3 linked regions of the Stegostoma tigrinum genome follow. The protein of the gene in region 2 interacts with the protein of the main gene of each other region in a pairwise test. Links are inferred from orthologs where the notes say so. Each region holds a gene or a part of one and is shown on either strand. Other genes may lie near its edges. The genes, in order: olfm3a, stub1 and hspb1.

Region 1 (7,309 bases), on a different chromosome or scaffold from region 2:
CAAGATGACATTCCACATTAAGCAGAGGTTCACCTGCACATCTGCCAATGTGGTATACTGCATCCACTGTACCCGGTGCGGCTTTCTCTACATTGGGGAAACCAAGCGGAGGCTTGGGGACCGCTTTGCAGAACACCTCCGCTCAGTTCGCAACAAACAACTGCACCTCCCAGTCGCAAACCATTTCCACTCCCCCTCCCATTCTCTTGATGACATGTCCATCATGGGCCTCCTGCACTGCCACAATGATGCCACCCGAAGGTTGCAGGAACAGCAACTCATATTCCGCCTGGGAACCCTGCAGCCATATGGTATCAATGTGGACTTCACCAGTTTCAAAATCTCCCCTTCCCCCACTGCATCCCTAAACCAGCCCAGTTCATCCCCTCCCCCCACTGCACCACACAACCAGCCCAGCTCTTCCCCCCCACCCACTGCATCCCAAAACCAGTCCAACCTGTCTCTGCCTCCCTAACCGGTTCTTCCTCTCACCCATCCCTTCCTCCCACCCCCAGCCGCACCCCCAGCTACCTACTAACCTCATCCCACCTCCTTGACCTGTCCGTCTTCCCTGGACTGACCTATCCCCTCCCCACCTCCCCACCTACACCCTCTCCACCTATCTTCTTTTCTCTCCATCTTCGGTCCGCCTCCCCCTCTCTCCCTATTTATTCCAGTTCCCTCTCCCCATCCCCCTCTCTGATGAAGGGTCTAGGCCCGAAACGTCAGCTTTTGTGCTCCTGAGATGCTGCTTGGCCTGCTGTGTTCATCCAGCCTCACATTTTATCACTCTAGTCTTTTTAACCTTTCCTCATTGCCAATGCCCTGGAGACCAGGCAACATCCTGGTGAACCTTCTCTGTACTCTCTCCAAAGCTTCAATATCCTTCTGTAATTTGGTGACCAAAACTGCACACAATACTCCAAATGTGGCCTAACAAGGGTTTTATATCACTGCAACATGTTTTACCAACTCTTGTACTCCATGCCCCAGCCGATGAAGGCAAGCACGCCGTGTGCTTTCTTAATCACCTTGGCTACCTTGGTTAGCACTTTTAGGGAACTGTGGACCTGCACACTCAGATCCATCTGAATGTTAATGTTTCGAAGGGTTCTGCCATTTACAGTGTAATTCACACCTAAATTTGATCCTCCAAAATGCATCACCTCACATTTGTCGGGATTAAACTCCATCTGCCATTTCGGTGCCCAAGTTTCCCATCATCCATATCCTGTTGTATCCTTTCACAATCATCAGCACCATCAGCAACTCCACCAATCTTCATGTCATCGGCAAACTTAATATTCAGGCCATGCACATTTTCCTCCAGATCATTTATGTTTACTACAACAGAGGACCTAAAACTGATCCTGGGGACACCACTAGTTACTGGCCTCCATTCTGAAAAACACCGTTCCACCGCTATCCTCTGTCTTCTGTGACCAAACCAGTTTTGTATCCATCTAGCCAGCCCACCCTGAATTCCGTGTGTTTGTACCGAGCTGCCACTTTATCAAATACATCGCTAAAGTCCATATAAACTACATCCACAGCCCTCCCCTCATTGAATTTTTTAAGAGGTATCAAAGATAATTAATCAGGTTGGTGCGACATGACCTTTCCTGTACAAAACCATGCTGCCTGTCACTAACTAGTCAATTTTCTTCCAACTGTGCATATATCCTGTCCCTGAGTATCTTCACCAACAGCTTCCTCACCACAGACTTCAGGCTCACTGGTCTGTAATTCCCTGGATTATCCTGCTTCCTTTCTTAAACAAGGGAACAACATTGGCTAATTTCCGGTCCTCTGGAGCCTTGCCTGTGGTAAAAGAGGGTGTGAAGATATCTGCTAATGCCCCATTTATTTCAACCCTTGCCTCTCTTATTTAACTAACTGGTGGCTTGATAGAGGTGTACAAAATGATCAGAGGTATTACTAGAGTAGACAGCCAGAGACCTTTTCCCAGGGTGGAGGTAGCTATTATGGGGGGACATAGTTTTAAAGTGAGTGGAGGTAGATTTGGGGAGATGTCAGGGGTAGGTTTTTTACTCAGAGAGTGGTCGGGGCATGGAATGCATTGCTGGAGAGGGTAGTGGAGTCAGCCTCATTAGGGGCATTTAAGTGACTATTAGATAGGCACATGGATGATAGTATTAGGTAGGGGTCAGATAGACCTTAGGTTTAGGTGAAAGGTTTGGCACAACATAGTGGGCCAAAGGGCTTGTACTGGGCTATGTTCTATGTTCTATGTTCCAGGTCGCATGTGAGTCTGGGGTTTTGTCTACTTTAATGCAATTAAGGATACCCAAAACATCCTCCTTTAATATATTGATATTCTCTCGAGTATTCACACATTCACCCCTGACTTCAACATCAGTCACGTCCTTCTCCTCAGTGAATACCGATACAAAATACTTATTAAGGATCTCACTCACTTCCTGTTGCTCCACATATAAGTTCCCTCCTTTGTCTTCGAGGGGGTCTACTCCTTCCCTTGCTACCCACTTTCTTCTAATATATGCATAAAAGCCTGGGGATTCTCTCTGACCCTGTTTGCTAAAGATATTTCATGGCCTCTTTTAGCCTTCCTAATTCCTAGTTCTTTCTTAATTTCTCCAAACTCCTCAAGGCGTTGGTCAGTTTGTAGCTGCCTAGACCCAGAGTATGCTTCCTTTTGACTAAGTTTACAATTTCCTTCTCATCCATGGTTCCTGGATCCTGCCATTCCTACCCTTCAGTTTTGCAGGGACATGCATGTCCCGCACTTTAATCAACTGGTCTTTAAAAGCTCCCCACATGCCAGACTTGATTTGGTCCAAAAGAATTATTGGTGCTGGAAATCTGAGACAGATCGAGAATGCTGGAGAAGCTCAGCAGGTCTGGCAGCTTCAGCGGAGAGAGAAACAGTTAACATTTTAAAGGTCAGAGACCATTGAGTTCTGAAGAAGTCATTGGACCTGAAACATTAACTCTGTTTCTCTCTCCACTGTTGCTGCCAGGCCTGCTGAGTTTCTTCAGCATTCTCTGTCTATCTCAGATGTCCAGCACTAACAGTTATAGAGTCATGCAGCACACAGACCCTTCCATCCAACTCTTCTGTACACAGCAGACCATCCCAAGCTGACCTAGTTCCATTTGCCAGCATTTAGCCTATATGCCTCTAAACCCTTCTTATTTATACGCCCATCCGATGCCTTTTAAATGTTGCAGTTGTGCATGCCACAGGTCATTTTTAAATCTTTTCTCTCTCACGTTAAACCAATGCCCTCCCTAGTTTTGGACTCCCCCGCCCCAGGGAAAATACCTTATCTATTTACCCTATCTATGAGCCTCTAGATTTTATAAACCTCTATAATGTCACCCCTCCGTTCTTCTTTTGTGTCAAACTCGGGAGTAAAATTATTTAAAATCTGAATATTTCTGCTAAAAGGCAAGATAATTGTACTCAAGCACTGATGCCTGTTTGGATTATTTTCGGTCCAGTTTCCATATGGGCAGATCTGTAGCCCGCTCAAACCTGGCGGAAATTCGATCCCATTTTTCCTAAACTGCTCTCTCTGATCCTGGGCTCACAACTCGCCTGGATGGATCATCTGCAAACATTCCCTGCGGTCGGGTCAAAAGTTCTTCAACAGTTAAGGATCAGGATTTAGGCTGAGTCCAGCGCTACGTCTGGTTGGAGCGTGAGAAGACAGGGGCGGTGAGACTGGGAGAGGGAGAGGCAGGAACTGGGGATGTGATTCACAGAGACAGAGAGATACAGACAGAGAGAGAGAGAGAGAGACGGGTGGGAGGGGGTGTCAGAGAGAGAGGGACAGACAGGGAGACAGAGACACACACACACAGAGTAATGTAGACACAGAGGAGGGAGAGAGACAGAGCAAACCCAGAGAGTGAGGGAGAAAACTCAACAGAAAGAAAGAGAAATAAGACAGAGAACTACTGGCACTGACCGAGCGGTGGGGGGGGGGGATTGGGGACTGGCACTGACCGAGCGGGGGGGGGGGGGTGGATTGGGGACTGGCACTGACCGAGCGGGGGGGGGGATTGGGGACTGGCACTGACCGAGCGGGGGGTGGGGGATTGGGGACTGGCACTGACCGAGCGGGGGGGGGTGGATTGGGGACTGGCACTGACCGAGCGGGGGGGGGGGGGATTGGGGACTGGCACTGACCGAGCGGGGGGGGGGGGTGGGGGGTGGGGACTGGCACTGACCGAGCGGAGGGTGGGGGGAACTGGCACTGACCGAGCGAGGGGGGGGGGGGGATTGGGGACTGGCACTGACCGGTTAAGGCGGATACGCTCGGCTGAGCCAAGCTCAAGATGCGGATACGGGCTGCATGCTGGCGAGCCGGGCTCCTGCTGGTCCTGGTGGGCTTTGATGGGTCCCGGGTAAGTGACCACAGCGGTGGCGGCACGGAGTGAGATCTCCCCCAGTGCTGTATTACCCTGTGTGTCTGTGAGTGTGTCTGTGTGTGTCTGAGTATCTGTGCCTGTGAGTGTGTGTCTGTGAGTGTCTGTGTGTCTGTGAGTGTGTCTGTGTGTCTGAGTGTGTCTGTGAGTATCTGTGTGTCTGTGTCTGTGTGTCTGTGTCTGTGAGTGTCTGTGTGTGTGTCTGCGAGTGTGTTTGTGAGTGTATGTGTGTGTCTGTGTGTGTCTGTGAGTGTGTTTGTGTGTGTCTGAGTGTGTGTCTGTGTGTGTGTGTGTGTGTGTGTGTGTGCATCTGAGTGTGTCTGTGAGTGTCTGTGTCTGTGTGTCTATGTGTGTGTCTGAGTGAGAGAGTCTGTTTGTGTCTGTGTGTGTGACTGTAAGTGTGAGTCTGTGTGTGTGTCTGAGTCTGTGTGTGTTTGTGTATGTATCTGTTTGTGGGTCTGTGTCTGTGAGTCTGTGTGTGTGGGTCTGTGTGTGGGTCTGTGTGTGTGTGTGTGTGTGTGTGTGTGTGTGGATCTGTGTGTCTGTCTGAGTCTGTGGGTCTGTATGTGTGTATCCGTGTGTGGGTCTGTGTCTGTGAGTCTGTGTGTGTGTGTGTCTGTGTGTGGATCTGTGTGTGCATCTGAGTCTGTGGGTCTGTGTGTGTGTATCTGTGTGTGGGTCTGAGTCTGTGAGTGAGTGTGTGTGGGTCTGGGAGTGGATCTGTGTGCGAGTCTGTGTATGTCTCTGTATCTATGTCTGTGTGTGTCTGTGTATGTGTGACAGTGAGTGTTTCTCAGTTTCTGTATGTACCTGCATGTGTTGGGTGTGTAGGTGTCTTGTGTCCCTCTGTGTCCGGCTGTATTTCCCTTTGGAAGTCTGTTTCTCTCTCACTGTGTCTCTCCCTGTGTGTATCTGTGTCACTCTCCCTGTGTGTATCTCTCCCAGTCACTCTCTCTCCCCCTGTCCCTCTGGCTCTGTGTCTCTCTCTCTCTGTGTCTCTCCCTCTATGGGTATGTGTCTATCTCTCTCTCTCTCTCTGTCCCTCTGTGTCTCTGTGGGTATCAATCTGTGTTGTCTGATTTACATCCGACAGGACACCACCCCTCCCCACCCCACCCCACTTTATTCCGATTGTTCTGGCTTTATCTGAAATACAGACTCATCATCTGGTGGATGACAGGATGATTTAAATAATTCCAGTAATGTTGACCGGAGAAAACGTTCGTGTTTTTCAGTATTGCCCAGAGAGTGCGGGGTTCTCAGCGGGAGTGAGGGAGAGAGCCCCAGAGCCAGGTGGACCCGGGTGGACCCTCTTTCAGCCTGATACCCACACACAAATCTTTAACCCCAAAGAAACGGACGTTGAGGCATTCGGGGGCTGGGGAGAGGGTAGGGTTTGGGGGTGTGCTGGCATCCGGGGATGATCAGGGTGGAAATCGTGTCCAAGGGGATTGCCCCGTGGGAATGGTGCTGGTTTGAAAAGCGAGTGCTGGTACAATGGGACGAATGGCCTCCCCCGGGGTAACAAATCTGCGATTCTATGATTTTTATTTTCAAAGATTTCTCCCTGTTTCTAACTGGCGACAATGGGGCCTTCATTTCCCATCCAACCAGAGGCTGTAAATTAAAGATTCAGGTTTGGTGATGTTCCTGACCCTGGTGAATTGTTTAACAACAAGAACATGCACTTATTGAGTATGATAACATCCGAATCTGTGTCAAAGGAACATTATCACAAAAGAAAACAACGGAAAACAAGCAAAGGATACCAGGTTCAGATGTCTGAACATCGGCTCAGGTCCAGGGACGTTCAGGAGAACAGCCAACGAGGGGAGGGTGGGGTGGCTGAAAAGTCCAGAGTTGGAGCAGTACAAAGGTCCAGGTTGGTTGAAGATGAGACACAAAGAGCAGCAGACTATGGGGAGAATGCGTTTTTCTTGCAAAGGTTCTGCACTGTTTGAGGATTCAGTGCCTGTACTGGGAGTTTAGAAGGACCAGGGTTCAACTTTTTCCAACAATTTCCGAACCATTGACATCAGACTAACTGGCCTGTAATTACCTTGAACAAAGGAGCCGCCTTAGGTATCCTCCAGTCATCTGACACTTCACCTACGTCCAGCAAAGTATTAAATATCTCCACCAGGGCCCCAGCAATCTCCTCCATTGCCTCCCATAGCATCCTGGGATACATCTTCTCAGGCCCTGGTGATTTATGTACATCCTTATTATTAAAGTTAACACTTCCTGGAGATTCACCATCCCAACCGAAATCCCAGGTCAAAATGTCTTTCGCCTTTGTGAACACAGATGAGAAATATTAATTTAAGACCTCCCTGATGTCCATTGGTTCCACACACAGATTGCTGCTTTGTTCTCTAATAGGCCCCACTCTTTTCCTGGTTATCCTCTTACTCCTAAAATAATTGTAAAATGTCTTGGGTTTTCCTTAATTTTATTTGCCAAAGATGTTTTGTAGCCCTTCTTTGTATTCTTAATTTCTTTTATAAGCAACTGCTACACTCTATAAGTTTTAAATACCACTGTGCCTGACATATTGTTCCTTTTTTTTTAAACAAATTCTCTATGTCCCCTAACATCCAGGGTTCCCTGGATTTGCTGGCCTTGTCCTTTGCTTTTAGAGAAGCACACTGGCCCTGGAAATCTCACGAGACTACTTTCAAAAGGCTTTCCAAATTTGACCTACCTGCAAATAGCTGTTCCCAGTCAATGTTTACCAGATCCTATCACATTATTGAAATTGGTCTTTCTCCAATTTAGACACAACTTCTCTACTACCCCTATCCTTTTCCCTAATGACTGAAAGTTATCCCCAAAATTCTCACCACTGGCGATCCAACCCTTTGATTAACTACACTCCCGAGGATTAGGTCTG
Region 2 (7,413 bases):
CCTATTTTTAATATAGTCCTATTATTCAATCCTCTGGAGCAAAAAAAATCCATAAGCGACCTATAACTCAAAAGGCAAAAGAAACATCTTCAAAACATTGACAAACTTTATGTCACTAATCTCTGGAGGGATAGGGTACAAAATAAAAAGAACCAGCTCGAATTCTGAACATCGAAACAGCAAAGTTTCAATATCATAGGGAAAGCAGAGCCAAAGAGATGCCAAAATATCAGTAAAAGAATTGAGCCATCAGAGTGTCTTCAAACATAGACTAACAGGAGTAAGAGGTGAAGGCACTGAACTATGAAAACAGTCAACACTGAATAACGAGGATCAATTCTTTCTGTTCTAAGAAAGAAAAATTGAATCACTCGCCAGAAATAAAGAAATACCATATTCATTGTCATATCTTGTGTGCTTTGTTTCAAATGCAATGATCTTGTAAAAATTGTTAAAAAAGGCAATCGACCACATTTAGCATCCAATGATCACACAGCCTAAAAGATTTACGTATCAAGGGTCTGCCAGCACAATGCCCCTTGACTGCATAATTCTATCAATTACCAACTCGTCTGACAGTCATGCATTGTGAGAAGGGTTCCATTACTGAATCATGTAGAAGTGATGCAAAATGAATTTTTTAAACTTTACTGTTGTGATCTTAAGCATAATGGTGCACTCGCACACGTGCGCACAATTACTGCAAGTGACTAGTTTTTTTTTAAAAGAAAGAGTAAAACACTTCAGTATTTACAGGACCAGAATAGCACTATACACAAGTATATAAGAGACAGGAACAGAACCGGGCCATTCTTCCCTTTAACCTGGTCTGCCATTCAATTAGATCTGCCAGATCTGATTGCAAACAATTCCACTTTCCTTCCTGATGACTTTTGACTCCCTTGGGGTCAAAAATCTGTCCAGCTCAACTGTCCAGCTTAACTATATTTAATAACAGTTTCCACTGCTCCACTGTGGTAGACAATTCCGGGGATTAATAACCCTTAGAAATGTAAATTATTTTCTATCTTGAATGACACACATCTGATTCTGAAACTCTGCCCCAAGTTCTAGTCACCCGTATGAGGGAAAAAAACACCCTCTTAGTATCTAACCTGAAAAGCCACTTCTGAATGTAAATCGAGAAAATCACCTTTCACCTTCTTAAATTCAAGTGGGTACAGGAGCCAACCTGCTCTATCTTACCTCACAAAACAAGCCCTTCATTCCAGGAATCAAATTAGAGAAGCTTCTCTAAACTGCTCACAATTTGCAAGCACATTCCTGGCAAAAGGGGCAGCACAGTGGCTAGCACTGCAGTCTTACAGCACCAGGGGCCCAGGTTCGATTTTACCCTCTGACGGCTGCGTGTGGAGTTTGCACATTCTCCCCGAGTCTGCGTGGGTTTCCTCCAGGTTTCCTCCCACAGTCCAAAGTTGTGCAGGTTAGATGGATTGGCCATGCTAAATTGCCCATAGTGTTCAGGGATGTTTAGGTTAGGTGTGTTAGATGTGGGAAATTAGGGGAATGGGTCTGGGTGGGATGTTGTTCGGAGGGGTTCTGTAGACTTGTTTTGCCAAATGGCCTGTTTCCACACTGTAGGGATTCTAAAACAGAGATCAAAAGTGCATTCATACTTAACTGCGGTACCACATATGTCCTATGCAGGAACAGCTAGACATTTTATACTTCAGCCCCTTGCAATAAATTCCAACATCCTATTTGAAACCTTAATTATCCACATGCCAACTTTTGTTAATCATGTCCAAGGGCACCCAGGTCTCTTTGTACGACACCATTCTATAGTCTCTCTCCATTTAAATAACATACTGCTTTTCTATTCTTCCCATCAAACAACACGTTTTTCCACCTTGTACTCCATCTACTAAACAGTTACCCAGTTATATGACCTATCTACAGTACATACTTTTCCAAACACTGATTCCTCCTCAGAGCTTTGCATTTTATACCAATACCACAATATCAAAATGGCTGAGTGTAAAAAGACACATACAGAAGTAAGAGCCTGTTACAATACTGTGATCTAATAATGCTTTCAACAGCATTATAAACAGCCAGGAACAACTTTAGGTAATTTCTGATCACACAGATTCCAAGATTCATCACTTAGACACAGACAGTCTTGTATACACAAGTCCTACGAATTGATGCAACAAGTTCATAGACGTATTTTCAAATAGTCATCTACTTTCTGATTCAGGTAATCCCTCTAGGCATACAAACGCACAGAATTAAACGCTTATATCTGCTGGATTTTGAGCCGTCGGCGTTGAGTCATATAGCTGCACCGAATAACCAGACCCTGAGATAACAAAGTGTAAAGCTGGATGGACACAGCAGGCCAAGCAGCATCTTAGAAGCAGACCCAGGGCATGACTGCTCATCCTGAAGGGTCACCTGAACCCTTTCGTTCTGGCGTTTGGCATTCGAAAATTATAAAGCAGGAGTGACAAAGCATAATGAATGAGGGGCATTTCATGAGCTCGGGGGGTGAAGAGGTTTTGTTCCGTGGCCTCTCCCCGGCACCGGCCGAGATACTCACAATAGCCTTGCTGTAGGAGGCCGCGGCTTCCTGATACTTTCTGCTGAGGAACAGGCGGTTTCCTTGCTCCTTCAGCTCCTGAGCAGTCAGGCTCTTCTCGGGGCTTCCGGACATGCTGCAGCTTTACCTCCCCCCGCACCCCGGGTGAAAGCAGGACACAGGGGGGAAAAGAGAGAGAGGGGGTGAAGTAAAACCCGGCTTCCCCGCAGCTGCTGGAAGGCCTGAGGGTGTAGGACAGTCCCCAGGCTGTGAGGGAGCGTGTGGGGAGTCCTAGGCCTAGGCCCAGTGGTCGGGGGAGGGGCGGCTGCGCTGATATGAGGAACCTCCGGGGGGAATGAGGCCGGCCTCAGGCGCTCAGAGGCGGGACACACCGGGCGAGGAGGAATCGGCCCGAGGAGCGGCGCCCGCTGTTTGTGTACAAACCGCACGCAACCGGCCGCGCACAACGGCGTCATCCGCCGCCGACGTGAGCGCGCCCGGTGACGGCATCTCCCGGCGCGGCGGGCGCCCGTGTCGTCCGCCGCCGCGTCCGCTGAACTCATCTCCTGGCGCCGCTACGGCCGAGTGAGCGATTCAGGACGCGACGGTAGCCGCCCCCGTGAAGCAGGACCGCCGCCATCTTGATAATGGAAATCTTCCTTTCCTCCCCATAACCGCTCCATCCCTCCGCCGCTGTGTGACCAGGATTGATACCATTAACTTATAAAGTCGGGGTAAATATTAACTAACCCAGAGAGTGGCGACTGTGATTGATTGACTGCCTGAGGAGGATGATAAGAATCAGGAACCCTCAGCACGTTGAAGACGTTTTGGGATGAACATTTGAAACGTTGGAGCACACAGGAACCTTTATTGGTGCGGGTGGTGTGTCCCCACCTCTGGGCCAGAAGTCCTGGCTTCGAGCCCCACCTGCTCCGGAGGTGCCTAATAACGTCTGTGAACAAGTTCAGATAAAAAAAAAATCTAGACGGCTAAGGACCAAGTGCGGGAAAATGGGATTAGAATGAACGAATGGATGGTTGTCTGATGACTAGCAGTGTTATGATGGGCTGAAGGGCCTTTTCCTCAAGCTGTTTACAATTCTACGATTTCTTTTTCACAGCGGGTCTTTGGAACTCTGCCAAAAAAACCGTGGCAGTAGAGTCCCTGAATATTGATTGTTTTCTTTAAATCATTATGGGATGTGGGCATTTATTGTCCACCCTTAATTGCTCAGAGGGCAGCTAGGAGTCAACCAGATTACTGTGGATTTGGAGTCACATGTAGTCTAGACCAGAAAAGGATGGAAATCTCCTTCCCTAAAGTGCATTAGCAAATCAGATGGGTTTTCCCACAACAATTGACAGTGGATTCATGGTCAACATTAGACTCATAATTCCAGATATTTATTGAATTCAAGTTCTAAAAGTCTGCATTGCTAGGAATCAAACCCAGGTCCCCAGGACCTTAGATAATAAAATGTGAGGCTGGATGAACACAGCAGGCCAAGCAGCATCTCAGGAGCACAAAAGCTGACGTTTCGGGCCTAGACCCTTCATCAGAGAGGTTAGGGTTAGGGTTAGGGACCTTACTTGGGTTTCCCTAGATTAACAGTCAAGTGATAACACCACTGGATCATTCCTTCCCACTTGGTGGTGAAATGTTGTCTTGGGGAGGTGGGTATGTGGAATGATCAAATCATATTGAATGTTCTATGGACTCAAGGCACTCAGTGACCTACTGCTTCTGATTTGTACATCCCTAAGGTTTGTGTTTCAAAAATGATTAGTGCAACAACATTTGTGCAGTTATAAATGTCATTTTTATTTGCAGGTTGAAACTGCTTAATGAATAAAGTAACATGACCGGACATGAAATATTGTTTAACTGCAAGAATCCTACCGTATGGAGGTCCATTTTTGCTCTCTATGGGGATGTGGTTGAAGCCAAGGCAATGGCATCCAAAGGGAAGAAAACAGGCAAACTGACTGCACTGGATAAATGGTGAGTTGTTTAGCTTTCTTCCCTAATTTAAAAGACAACAGCTCATGAATTACTTTTGGGGAAGGGCAAGTGGAGGGTTGACTAGAGACAACTCATATTGTAACGTTTATTTGAGTTCTTTGGGAAATTTAAGTACTTAGGCCTGAGACTAAGGATTGAATTTTCATAATGGGTTGAATGTCAGAGAATTTCCATATTTTCTAAGCCTGCCTCTTACCGGACAGTGCTCACCAGTGTTATATTCATCTATGCATACTTTAAGTTATAATTTTACAGCATAGCTGTGTCTTTGAGTGCATTTTTTCACGTGTTTTCACAGTGTACATTAGCTTGAGCCACAAAACAGCAATGAAACCATTAACCCTTAATTTTGACCTGGATTTATGGCTCTATTCTTTAGAGAAGTTGTTTAACAAGTAACCGCGATTAATCAGAATATCCTCGAGTGCTCAAATAATTAAAATTATTAAATTACTATTGAAAATTGACTCAATCCGGCACCAAGAATTGATTAGAGTCTGATCGTGATAGGAGTGACAGGGCAGCAGGGTGGCTCAGTGGTTAGCACTGCTGCCTCAGCGCTAGGGACCTGGGTTTGATTCTGTTCTCGGACAACTGTCTGCATGGAGTTTGCACAGCCTGCATGGATGTCCTCTAGGTGCTCTGGCTTGCTCCAACAGTCCAAAGATTTGCAGTTTAGTTGGATTCGTCATGCTAAAATTGCCCACAGTGTCCACGGACGTCTACGTTAGATGGATCAGCCATGGGAAATGCAGGGTTATTGGAGTAGAGTGGGGATTGAGTTTGGATGGGGTATTCTTTGCAGGGTTGGTGTAGACTCAATGGACTGAATAGACTCCTTCCATACTGTAGGCATTCTATGAGGGGAGTATGAACCTTTGTGTGGATGCAAACATGAGCTGCCTCAGTCAAAGTATTTTAAGAATGATACCTATGGGGAGGCTGGCATATGAGAACATTCGGAAAACTCAGCCAGGAGGTTATAAAGATGAAAGGTCAAAGATTCTGATGGTCACTCAGGGCAGCTTATAGTGTCAATACTATCAGACCTGGAGAAAATGTTCCCAGTCCTGGCCCATTGTTGTAAATGCTCTATTGCTTAAATCGAGCTTTTCTGAGCTCTATTTATTTTCCAAAGTTGCTGAGGCCCAGGAGATCCAGCCATCATTAGTTCACAATATAAAATCCATTAAAGTGCAGCTTCCATTTAACAGATTGTAATAATTGACTGATCTGAGGGTGAGTTGCAGTCTGTCATACTTGTTTTTGATAGATACAAATTTTTGATAAATGATACAAGCGAACAATTGAGTTTTGATGGTGTTGATTAAGGGAAGACTATTGGTCAGCAGACTGACAAAATACTCTAGTGCAATCAATGTATTAACTAATAGCTAGGATGTCATTTTAATAAAAATGCAAATGGTGTTTGGTCTGTAATAAGGAAATGAACAGGTTATTTAAAATGTTTGCTCACTCACATGTATTTATGAGCAATCTGGTTGCTGATTCTTCTCCAACTCAGGTATCAAGAAGAATTACCAGAAGCTCTCTGTAGTCGCAAAGAGAAATTCCTCACTCACGCAGAACTGGTTCAGTTGATGGAGTGGAAACTGACAGTAAGTCTGCCATGTAGGGTTGGATTTACATATTAAACACCAAGGTTGTTTCTGGATGTTTCTGTACCTCAAATTAGTATTCAAGGATGGGGATACTTATTTATCCCCTCCTCCATACTTGGTTCCTGGCCTGAGACTTACGCAGGCTGGGATCAAATCTGCTACTCCAGGGCTTTAGAGGAGCTCTCTTTCATGTTTAAATCCAGAAGACCAGCCCTTCCTTTTACAGAGGATCGGGGGAAGTCTTGTGGTGCAGTGAGTAGTGCTGTTGCACCATGACCAAAACAAGCCCTGGGTAAACAGTGTACATACAATAATACAGCATTTAAACTACACTAAATGCTATTGTTTAGAGTCATCCTGGAAGATATTGTTAATAATGTACAATTGCTGTCACAACAGTTGAAACAGACTCTGAATTATTTTAAAAATGAATTGGAGTTGGTTGTATGATGGCAATTAGTTTCTATTGAATAATTCAGTAGAACCTCTTTGGCAACTTTTCACACAGAGGATTGCTCGCATGTGGATTAAACTGCCAGTGGAAGTGGTGGGTGCAGGTACAGTTACAACATTTGTAATATATTTGGACAGGTACATGAGTAGAAAAGGTTTAGAGGTTTATGTGGGCCAAATGCAGGCAAGTGGGAAAGTTTTAGTTTGGGAAACTTGTTGTAAACTAATTGAACAAAAGGTCTGCTTCCATGGACTATGACTATCTGGGGTCCAAAGCTTCCCAGACTAAGTGGGTGTGAAATGCAAAACTGTGTTCTGTATCACTTTGTGGTTTGTTAGCCATGGGAAGAATTTAATAATTAACCTGCTAATCTATTCAACATGTCCGTGAAAAAGCAGGAATGCGTCCTAATCAATCATTCTTGAAGTGGGGTAGTGCACTTCAAGTTATAACCACTTGTCTCAGAATAGAGGGAGATACCCATTGTCCCTTTACAATTGTGAAAAGCTGCCATAATCTAATCAGACCATAAAGCTGCGCTCTCATTAGAGAGAGATGGTGGTTTAACGTGAGGACCACCACGCCTCAGTTGAGGAGAGATTTGAGAAGGGGAGTCCTTCATAGTGCAGGAATTAAACCCACACTGTTGGCATCACTTTGCATCACAAACTAGCTATCCAGCCAACTGAACTAACCAAGCCCTTTAGAGACTGTAACTGCTCACAGACAAAATAACAGAAATTCTTCCTTTGGTTTTTACCATTTCTGGT
Region 3 (7,770 bases), on a different chromosome or scaffold from region 2:
GCCAATCAAATCCACCAAGAACCCGTTCATTTCCAAAGAGGTTTCCTGATGGCTAATTTGTACGACGATCTTGGTAAGCTCTCAAACGTGGAGAGTCAGACTGTTAACATGACGTTTAATGAGCAATAATAAGCGTCAATTTGGAACTCGCTGCTGCCTAGTGAGAATCTTGCCATACTGCTGTGTAAAGTCCATGAGATGCTGAGAGAAAACCTTGACACTGAGACGGGCATCACCAAGCTTCTGGCCTGATTCTCCCACTCACCTCTCCACAGCCCACACCACTCATACCCTGGTAAGATTACACCCAATGTTTCTATTACCCTTCCTGCCTCCACCCACCTCAATTAAATCCTCACGACTGCCTTATTTATTCTATGCTCTTGAGCCAGTTCGAGTGAAAGATGCTTGTTACTGTCCAAAGTGAAAGCTTTATTTGAGTCCAGTTCCTGTACTAGATATAACCCGCATTTAGAGTGATCCAAGTGTTCAATAAACTGAGCTTGTGATGCCCTCTTTTCCTATAAAAGCTGAGCATTGCTCATCTAATTCAATATCCCTCAGTTTCTATCAGGTCTGCCATGATCCAGAAAAATACTCCACTTTTTCACTTGGGCAAGGTCATTACTCCTGATTTCATTATTGAATGTATTAGTTAACAGCTAAATATACATTTCCTAGTTTTGGATAAATGGAAACATTATTACATCAAGAGAGATTGGAAGAACTGCAGATGCTGGAGTCAGAGATGACATAGCGTGGAGCTGGAAGAAGACAACAGGTCAGGCAACATCAGAGGAGCAGGAAAGTTGACATTTCGGATCAGAACCCTTCTTCAGAAAGGCCCCCGACCCGAAACATCAACTTTCCTGCTCCTCTGACATTACTACATCAACATTTCTTCCCTTTAAAGATCTTTATTCACTTCCTCCCCAAGAGTGTTGGACGAGGAGAGCGAACATTACCCCTACTAAATCCTTAATTCTGATTACAGAGGTTACCTTCTGCTTTCGGCTATCGCAGTCTCACACAGGGCTTCCACAAAGTTGGATCATCCTTCATAAGGGCCCTCAGGAATTGCTGGATGCCTGTCCCTTGCTGCTAACCACCCTCACTAATTATAGGCTGGGAACAACTCCAGCAACACATCAACCACATGCCTGGTCTGGTTGCTGGGCTACCACACATTGTTGATACATAAGCAAATAAATACATTTCTAATCAAGTGATAGAATGCCTCTCAGAGGAGTTACAAGAAAATGCAAAATTCCCCTACACAACATTCCAGAGTGTTGCAATGTCACTGGGCTAATAATCTATCAGCAGACTCACCGCCGCAATAGAATCGAGTTTGGGCCGGTGCGGTACCCAGTGGCGTCAGTGGTGTCTGCATTGGCAGGGTCCAGTGAGGCCTCATAGTGGTGAGGGTGTTGGTGGGTGCAAGACGGTGCCACAAACTGGCGACTTTTGTTCCAGGAGCAGCAACATGGCGAAGGCAACTCATGCCTGACTACCAGGCCCATGGCCCATGGCGGTGCGCTTAACAAGGAGGACTGTAAAGTTGAACACTTTTTCTCTATTTCTTTAGCTTTTCTACCTTTTATTCTATGTTTTGGTTTATTTGGCTGTGCATTAAGATTGCATTGAAGAGTGGTGACACTGTATTACACTTTTCACATTATTTGTAACAAAGTACATGCAAAAATAAATAAATCAAGCCAAATCCTAACTGCCCTCTGAAATGAAGAGGCAAACCATTCAGTTAAAAGGCAATGAGGGATGGGTGAAATGCCCACATTCCATGAAAAAGAATACAGAAGATTATCACACCAGTCCCAGATCCTGGAAGTGAATTTTCCAAGTGCATTGGCAGCTCACTCTCATTGCTCCGAATGGATCCTTTTCATGAGTAGATTTGTAATCACTAATTCAGGTGTAGTCTCTCTATGTAAGGTGGGGCTGCAGGCTGCAGAGGTAGTCAGGCCCACCTGGGATGTGAGTTTCAGCAGAGCCTGAGGCAGATGCATCTATAGTGCCACGGTAGCTGTCAGTCTAAGGGGACAGACCCTGAACAACAGGGTGATCAATCTGTTAACTCGCGTGTTACACAGGAGTTGACAGGCTTTTTCGCTCCCCGACCAGACAGCCGGTGTTACAGGTGACCAGCAGTGAAACAGATAGAGAGAGACAGCCCCAACAGATTTGGGGAAATAACACAAAGGCGGATTTGTAATAAAGTGGATGGCAGCCGTGATGACATGTCCAAAGTAATGACGGTCCAAGAATAAAGGATGTGACTTGGACACATGCATCGAAGCTGGGCCCAGATGATGTGTAGATAATTGCAGTAACATCTTGCCATTTGCCAAGATTATGTTCCTCAGAGACTTTGTGAGCAGTGTTTTGGTCAAAGACTGCATATTTTGCCAAATTCTTCACTAGGTGGAGCATTGCAGTCTACCAGAAGAAAGACAGTTGCATTACATCAATTGCAAAACTAAAAGTGTCTGAAATTCATTCCAGGTAGTGAGCAAGGAACCAGACCAAAACAATTTTTGACAGTATCTTTTCGACTTGTTGTAAGATCCATGAAGCACAGCAACAATCATTAACAGACTGTCCGCTTCTTGGCAATCTGCACTTTAGACTAGATTACCTTTGGGCTGCAGGTTTAACGTCACACTGCACCTGTATGGAGGCCAGGTGTTGACCAGTCACCAGGCATGCTGACTTGCAGTGAAAGTTACAGACTGATTATAACTGTTGCTGTATTCTCCTAGATCTTGCAACTAGTCTAAAATTGAATGCTGTGCCGGCATGACATTGTGGGAGTGACTGCGAACGCACAGACGGTGCTGCAGAGTAGAGACTATTGCTCCAGTAGCAGTGACACAGCGAAAGCAGCTCATGCCTAACTACCAGGCCCATGGTCCATGGCAGAGCACATAACAAGAAGGAAATGATTTTTGCATCGGGAATAGGCACTGCACTTCACTAGTCGTGAACATGACATTCCATGTGTGCACAGAGCAAGATGTATGAGCAGTGCAGACGGATATACTGCATAAAATGGTTGGCAGTGTTACATTATGCACAGTACGAGGTGCATGCGCAATGCAAAATGCGCTTGCAGTTATACGTGCTGTGTCTTACACGTTTAGTGCGAGTTACGTGTCCGTGTGTGAGCTATACGCAAATGCGAGGTTTTGCACTTTGGAAAAAAGAATACAGGCATGGACTATTTTCTAAATGGTGAGAAAATTCATAAAGCCGAAGTACAAAGGGACCTGGGAGTGCTGGTCCAGGATTCTCTAAAGGTTAACTTGCAGGTAGAGTCCGTAATTGAGAAAGTGAATGTAATGTTGTCATTTATCTCAAGAGGGTTGGAACATAAAAGCAGCGATGTGCTTCTGAGGCTTTATAAAGCTCTAGTTAGGCCCCACTTAGAATACTGTGTCCAATTTTGGGCCCCACACCTCAGGAATGACATACTAGCCCTGGAGCGTGTCCAGCGGAGATTCACACGGATGATCCCTGGAATGGTAGGTTTAACGTATGAAGAGCGGCTAAGGATCCTGGGATTGTACTCATTAGCGTTTAGAAGGTTGAGGGGAGATCTAATAGAAACTTACAAGATAATGTATGGTTTAGAAGGGGTGGACGCTGGGAAGTTGTTTCCATTAGGCGGGGAGACTAGGACACTTGGGCACTGCCTTAGAACTAGAGGGGGTAAATTTAAAACGGGAATGAGATGACATTTCTTCAGCCAGAGAGTGGTGGGCTTGTGGAATTCATTGCCACGGAGTGCAGTGGAGGCCAGGAAGTTAAATGCCTTCAAGACAGAGATTGATAAGTTCTTGATCTCACAGGGAATTAAGGGCTACGGGGAGAGTGCAGGGAAGTACATTCGAAATGCCCATCAGCCATGATTTAAATGGCGGAGTGGACTCGATGGGCCAAATGGCCTTACTTCCACTCCTATGTCTTATGGTCTATATGGGTAGCTCAGTGGCTAGCACTGCTACCTCACAGTGATACAGAGTGAGGATCAATTCCAGTCGTGGTTGACTGTCTGCATGGCATTTGCACATTCTCCTTGTGCTTTTACAGTCCAAAGATTTGCAGGTTAGGTGGATTGGCCGTGCTGTAGTGCCCAGGGATGTGCAGGTTATGTGGATTGGCCATGTTGTTGTGCCCAGGGATGTGCAGGTTAGGTGGATTGGCCATGCTGTAGTGCCCAGGGATGTGCAGGCTAGGTGGGTCAGCCAGGGTTACAGGGATAGGGGAGTAGGGAGGTTCTAGAGGATGTTCCTTGGAGGGCCGGTTTGGACTTGATGGACAGAATGGCCTGCTTTCGCACTATAGGGATTTTCTATGAGTTACAGGTGCAGTGCAATATGAGATGTTTGTGCACGGTGTATTTTCTGCCTGCAGGAAGTAAGTTTTCTTTTCATTTATTTTCTTTAAAAACCTGGAGAAGCCCAGATTGGGTGCAGAGTGGCCAGAATCGTACACACAGTCCGTTTGGGGACCGGATTTTACTCTAGCCCAGGGAGGGAAGTCGAAACCCAAACACCAACTTCCCAATCAGAGATTTTCAGAGCACAGAACGAGGTTGTTGGGCCCATCCTTACTGTGCTGGCCCTCTGCAAGTAAAGCAACTGAGCTCCTGGCGCTTTGTCCCGGGGTGTGTACATGGGTGCAAGAGGGAGTGTTGTGTCTAGTGTCAACAAGCTCATTTTCCAAACTCTGATCCAGACAATCGGAGAGACCATTCGGGAATCCTGGAGAGCTTGAATTCCGCACCAATGAGGGCAGACCCTGTAATCGGACTCGGCTGGAATCTGATTTAAATATAGCCCGGGATATAAAAGCAGCGCCGTGCCACACTTCTGGCCCAGCGTTAGCCCGGCTCTGCCTCTCTCTCTCTCTCTCCCCCGCTGCCGCGATGTCCGAGCGCCGCATCCCCTTCAGTTTCATGCGGAGCCCCAGCTGGGATCCGTTCCGGGACTGGCACTACCCCGGCCGGATCTTTGACCAGTTCTTCGGGATGCCAGCCTTGCCCCACGACTGGTCGGCCACCGACTGGCACGGCATGTGGCCGGGCTATTTCCGACCGTCCCTGGCGGCCCCGAGCGGGGCAGCGGCTCCTGCCAGCGGCCAGGACAGCGGCTTGAGCCGGCAGCAAAGTACAGGAGTGTCCGAGATCAAAGTGACCTCAGATAAGTGGAAAGTCAGCCTGGATGTCAACCACTTTGCCCCGGAAGAAATCACAGTCAAGACCAAGGATGGGTACGTGGAGATCACTGGTAAGCTCCCTCCAGATCTCTTCATTTGTAGTCTTGCTATTTCCAACTTTCCCCAAATACTTTTCAGAGCCCCTCATTGGGTTAGTCCCTGGGCCAAGAGTTTTGAGTCCCTGAATTCCATCACCACCCCACCCAACCTTCACTTTCCTGTTGGACTGGAGTTAGTGTAAAGCCCAGTTTTTAATTTTTCTTAAATTATATATTGTTTAGCCAGTCTGCTGTCGGGAAAGTCAGAGGGCCCAGGATTGCAAAACGAGGGTGTTCCTGGCCAACGGCCCAGAGCCCAGGGGAAATTACTTCGCTCAGCCCCTTGTGGGTGTTGGGATCTCAGTACTCGGAGAGTTGCATAGATTGGAGGCTTCTCTCGGGGAATCGAGGGGTATTGAGTGTGGCTGGGAAAGTGGATTTGAAGCCAGGGTTGTATTTAATGGCAAAACAGGCACGATGGGCCGAATGAGCTACTCCTCTCTACTTGTTGTGTTCTTCTGTGCCCAATTCTGCTCGCACCTCTTTCGGATGAATGTAACGTCTTACAGGAGTGGGCTTGGGGAAGGAAGATTTGTGAGAATGAATTGAGGGATGGAGGAGTAGTTTGATGCCCGAGGGAGGTTCAATCACGATGCCAAGGAAGCAGGTGTTAACCTGCAATATCCTTCTAATACGCCTTTAGCAGGCAGCAAGAGGGTGAAGATCTCCTTATCTGCTGTGCCTCATATGGAAGGGCATCTCTCAAAATTGCTTCTGGAGTGAGGCTGGTGACATGTTCTGGGAGGAACAAATCATGTAAATGGATTTTTGGGGATGTAGGTTTCACCAGTTGGACCAGTATTTATTGCTCGTCTCTAGTTCTCCTTCAGAATGGGAAAATCTGCGGGCCAGTTCACCTGGCTTTTGAAAATGCTGGAATATGTTATTAAGGGAGTGTGAACAATGTGCATGGCAAATCATAGTTCATAGACAAAGTAAACATAGTTTTATGAAAGGGACGGCATGTTTGACAACTAATTGGATATTTTGCCCATCTAACCAGCGGTGGGGAACCGGTAGATGTAGTGTACTGGGATGTGAGCTTCAATAAGGTACCACGCGTAAGGTGCTATTATGTAGGTGAGGGGTTTATGGAGTTGGGAGCAATAGGTATTCTAATGGTCAGATCGCCCTTGCTGAAGTCGAAATGGAAGTTGCATATCAAGGCCATGCAAAATTCTCAAGGCAGCTGGCTCCAAGGGAATTGCACTGGAACTTGGTATTATTATTGGCAAATTCCCTGCATCAAGATAATTCTGAAAAAGTCCCTTGAAGTCGAGAATTCAGAGGGTTCAAACTCCATAGGCCCACAGGTTATCCAGGAAAGTTTAGAGGATTAAAACTTGTTTTAATACCTGGGTAAATATTAATCTGAACTTCCTGACTATGCCCACCCCAACCCAACATTCACCCCCGTCACCAACTCCACCCCATCTGATCCAACACAGCTCCCTAACACAACCCCAACACCCGCATATGACCCAACAACACCACACTCCTTCCAATCTGACCAGATACCATCCATACCCACTGCCATAACACTTGCAGAGACACCAGAACCAAAATGCCTCTTCTTAACACAACCCCTCCTCCACGTGATCAAACACTCCACCTAATCCGATAACACCCTCAATGTTTCGACTTAATACCTTCCTACCCCTCAACTGATATCTCCCAGTCTGACCCAACATAACATCCCAGTCATTTTCCCAGCCCCAGCTCCAACCTGAACTGAAATGGCAATCTCTCCTAAGTACTCATCCTCCTGTGAGGCACTCCGGGACTCAATCTATCTGGCTTCTTTTTCAGCTTGCACATCTGGCATTTTACCCACTTCTTCCTCCCCTGGAACCCTACCTACCTGACCCTAACTAATCTGTGACTTTTCCCCATTACCCACCTGGCTCATGCCCCCCACTCACTGGGACTGGTCCCTCCTGCTGCCCCTTCAAGTATGTACTTACCTTTCACAGTAGATTTCAAAGTGCCTGCTGACCATTTAAAATGAAGACCAACGCATTAAGTGCTGCAGAAGGTGATGTAGTTTCAACAAAAACCCTTTGCACTTCGGGATTTGAGGCTTGCTTAGACTGGCTCATACCAAAAGGCTCTAGAACAGAAATCTCCAGGGCAGAAGTGGGCATTTTTAAAATTTGATCGGGGTTGGAAATAGGGTTTCTGTCTCTGACTGGGGTTGTGGTCAGATTTTTCAGCCTAACAGGAAACAGAGAGATGGATAAGACCTTTTCGAGATGGCAAGCTGGGACTAGTAGAGTATTGTTCATTGCTGAGCCTTATCAATTTACAATCTATATTTGTGACTAGATGAAGAGATTGAGATTAATGTATCTACACTTGCTGACAATACAAAGCTGGTTAGAAATGTAAACTGGAGGCAGCAGTGAGACTGCATTGGGAGACAGAAAGCGGAAGT

What was found.
Region 1: the proteins of stub1 (region 2) and olfm3a interact in binary tests that used the Homo sapiens proteins (3 or more experiments, as listed by UniProt). The two-hybrid records come from large-scale screens. The link is inferred for Stegostoma tigrinum from reciprocal best matches to the Homo sapiens genes STUB1 and OLFM3.
Region 3: the proteins of stub1 (region 2) and hspb1 interact in binary tests that used the Homo sapiens proteins (3 or more experiments, as listed by UniProt). The link is inferred for Stegostoma tigrinum from reciprocal best matches to the Homo sapiens genes STUB1 and HSPB1.

The regions. Positions count from the first base shown.
Region 1 is NC_081361.1:103,514,598-103,521,906, forward strand, and holds the start of olfm3a (noelin-3a), read left to right. Parts: upstream 1-4,269; 5' UTR 4,270-4,326; coding exon 4,327-4,395; intron 4,396-7,309.
Region 2 is NC_081376.1:48,038,469-48,045,881, forward strand, and holds the start of stub1 (E3 ubiquitin-protein ligase CHIP), read right to left. Parts: upstream 3,058-7,413; 5' UTR 2,678-3,057; coding exon 2,564-2,677; intron 1-2,563. Other genes in the region: uncharacterized protein zgc:112496, read left to right, coding at 4,404-4,546, 6,093-6,186. UniProt on the Homo sapiens protein: E3 ubiquitin-protein ligase which targets misfolded chaperone substrates towards proteasomal degradation.
Region 3 is NC_081380.1:6,802,345-6,810,114, forward strand, and holds the start of hspb1 (heat shock protein beta-1), read left to right. Parts: upstream 1-4,723; 5' UTR 4,724-4,948; coding exon 4,949-5,309; intron 5,310-7,770. UniProt on the Homo sapiens protein: Small heat shock protein which functions as a molecular chaperone probably maintaining denatured proteins in a folding-competent state. Plays a role in stress resistance and actin organization.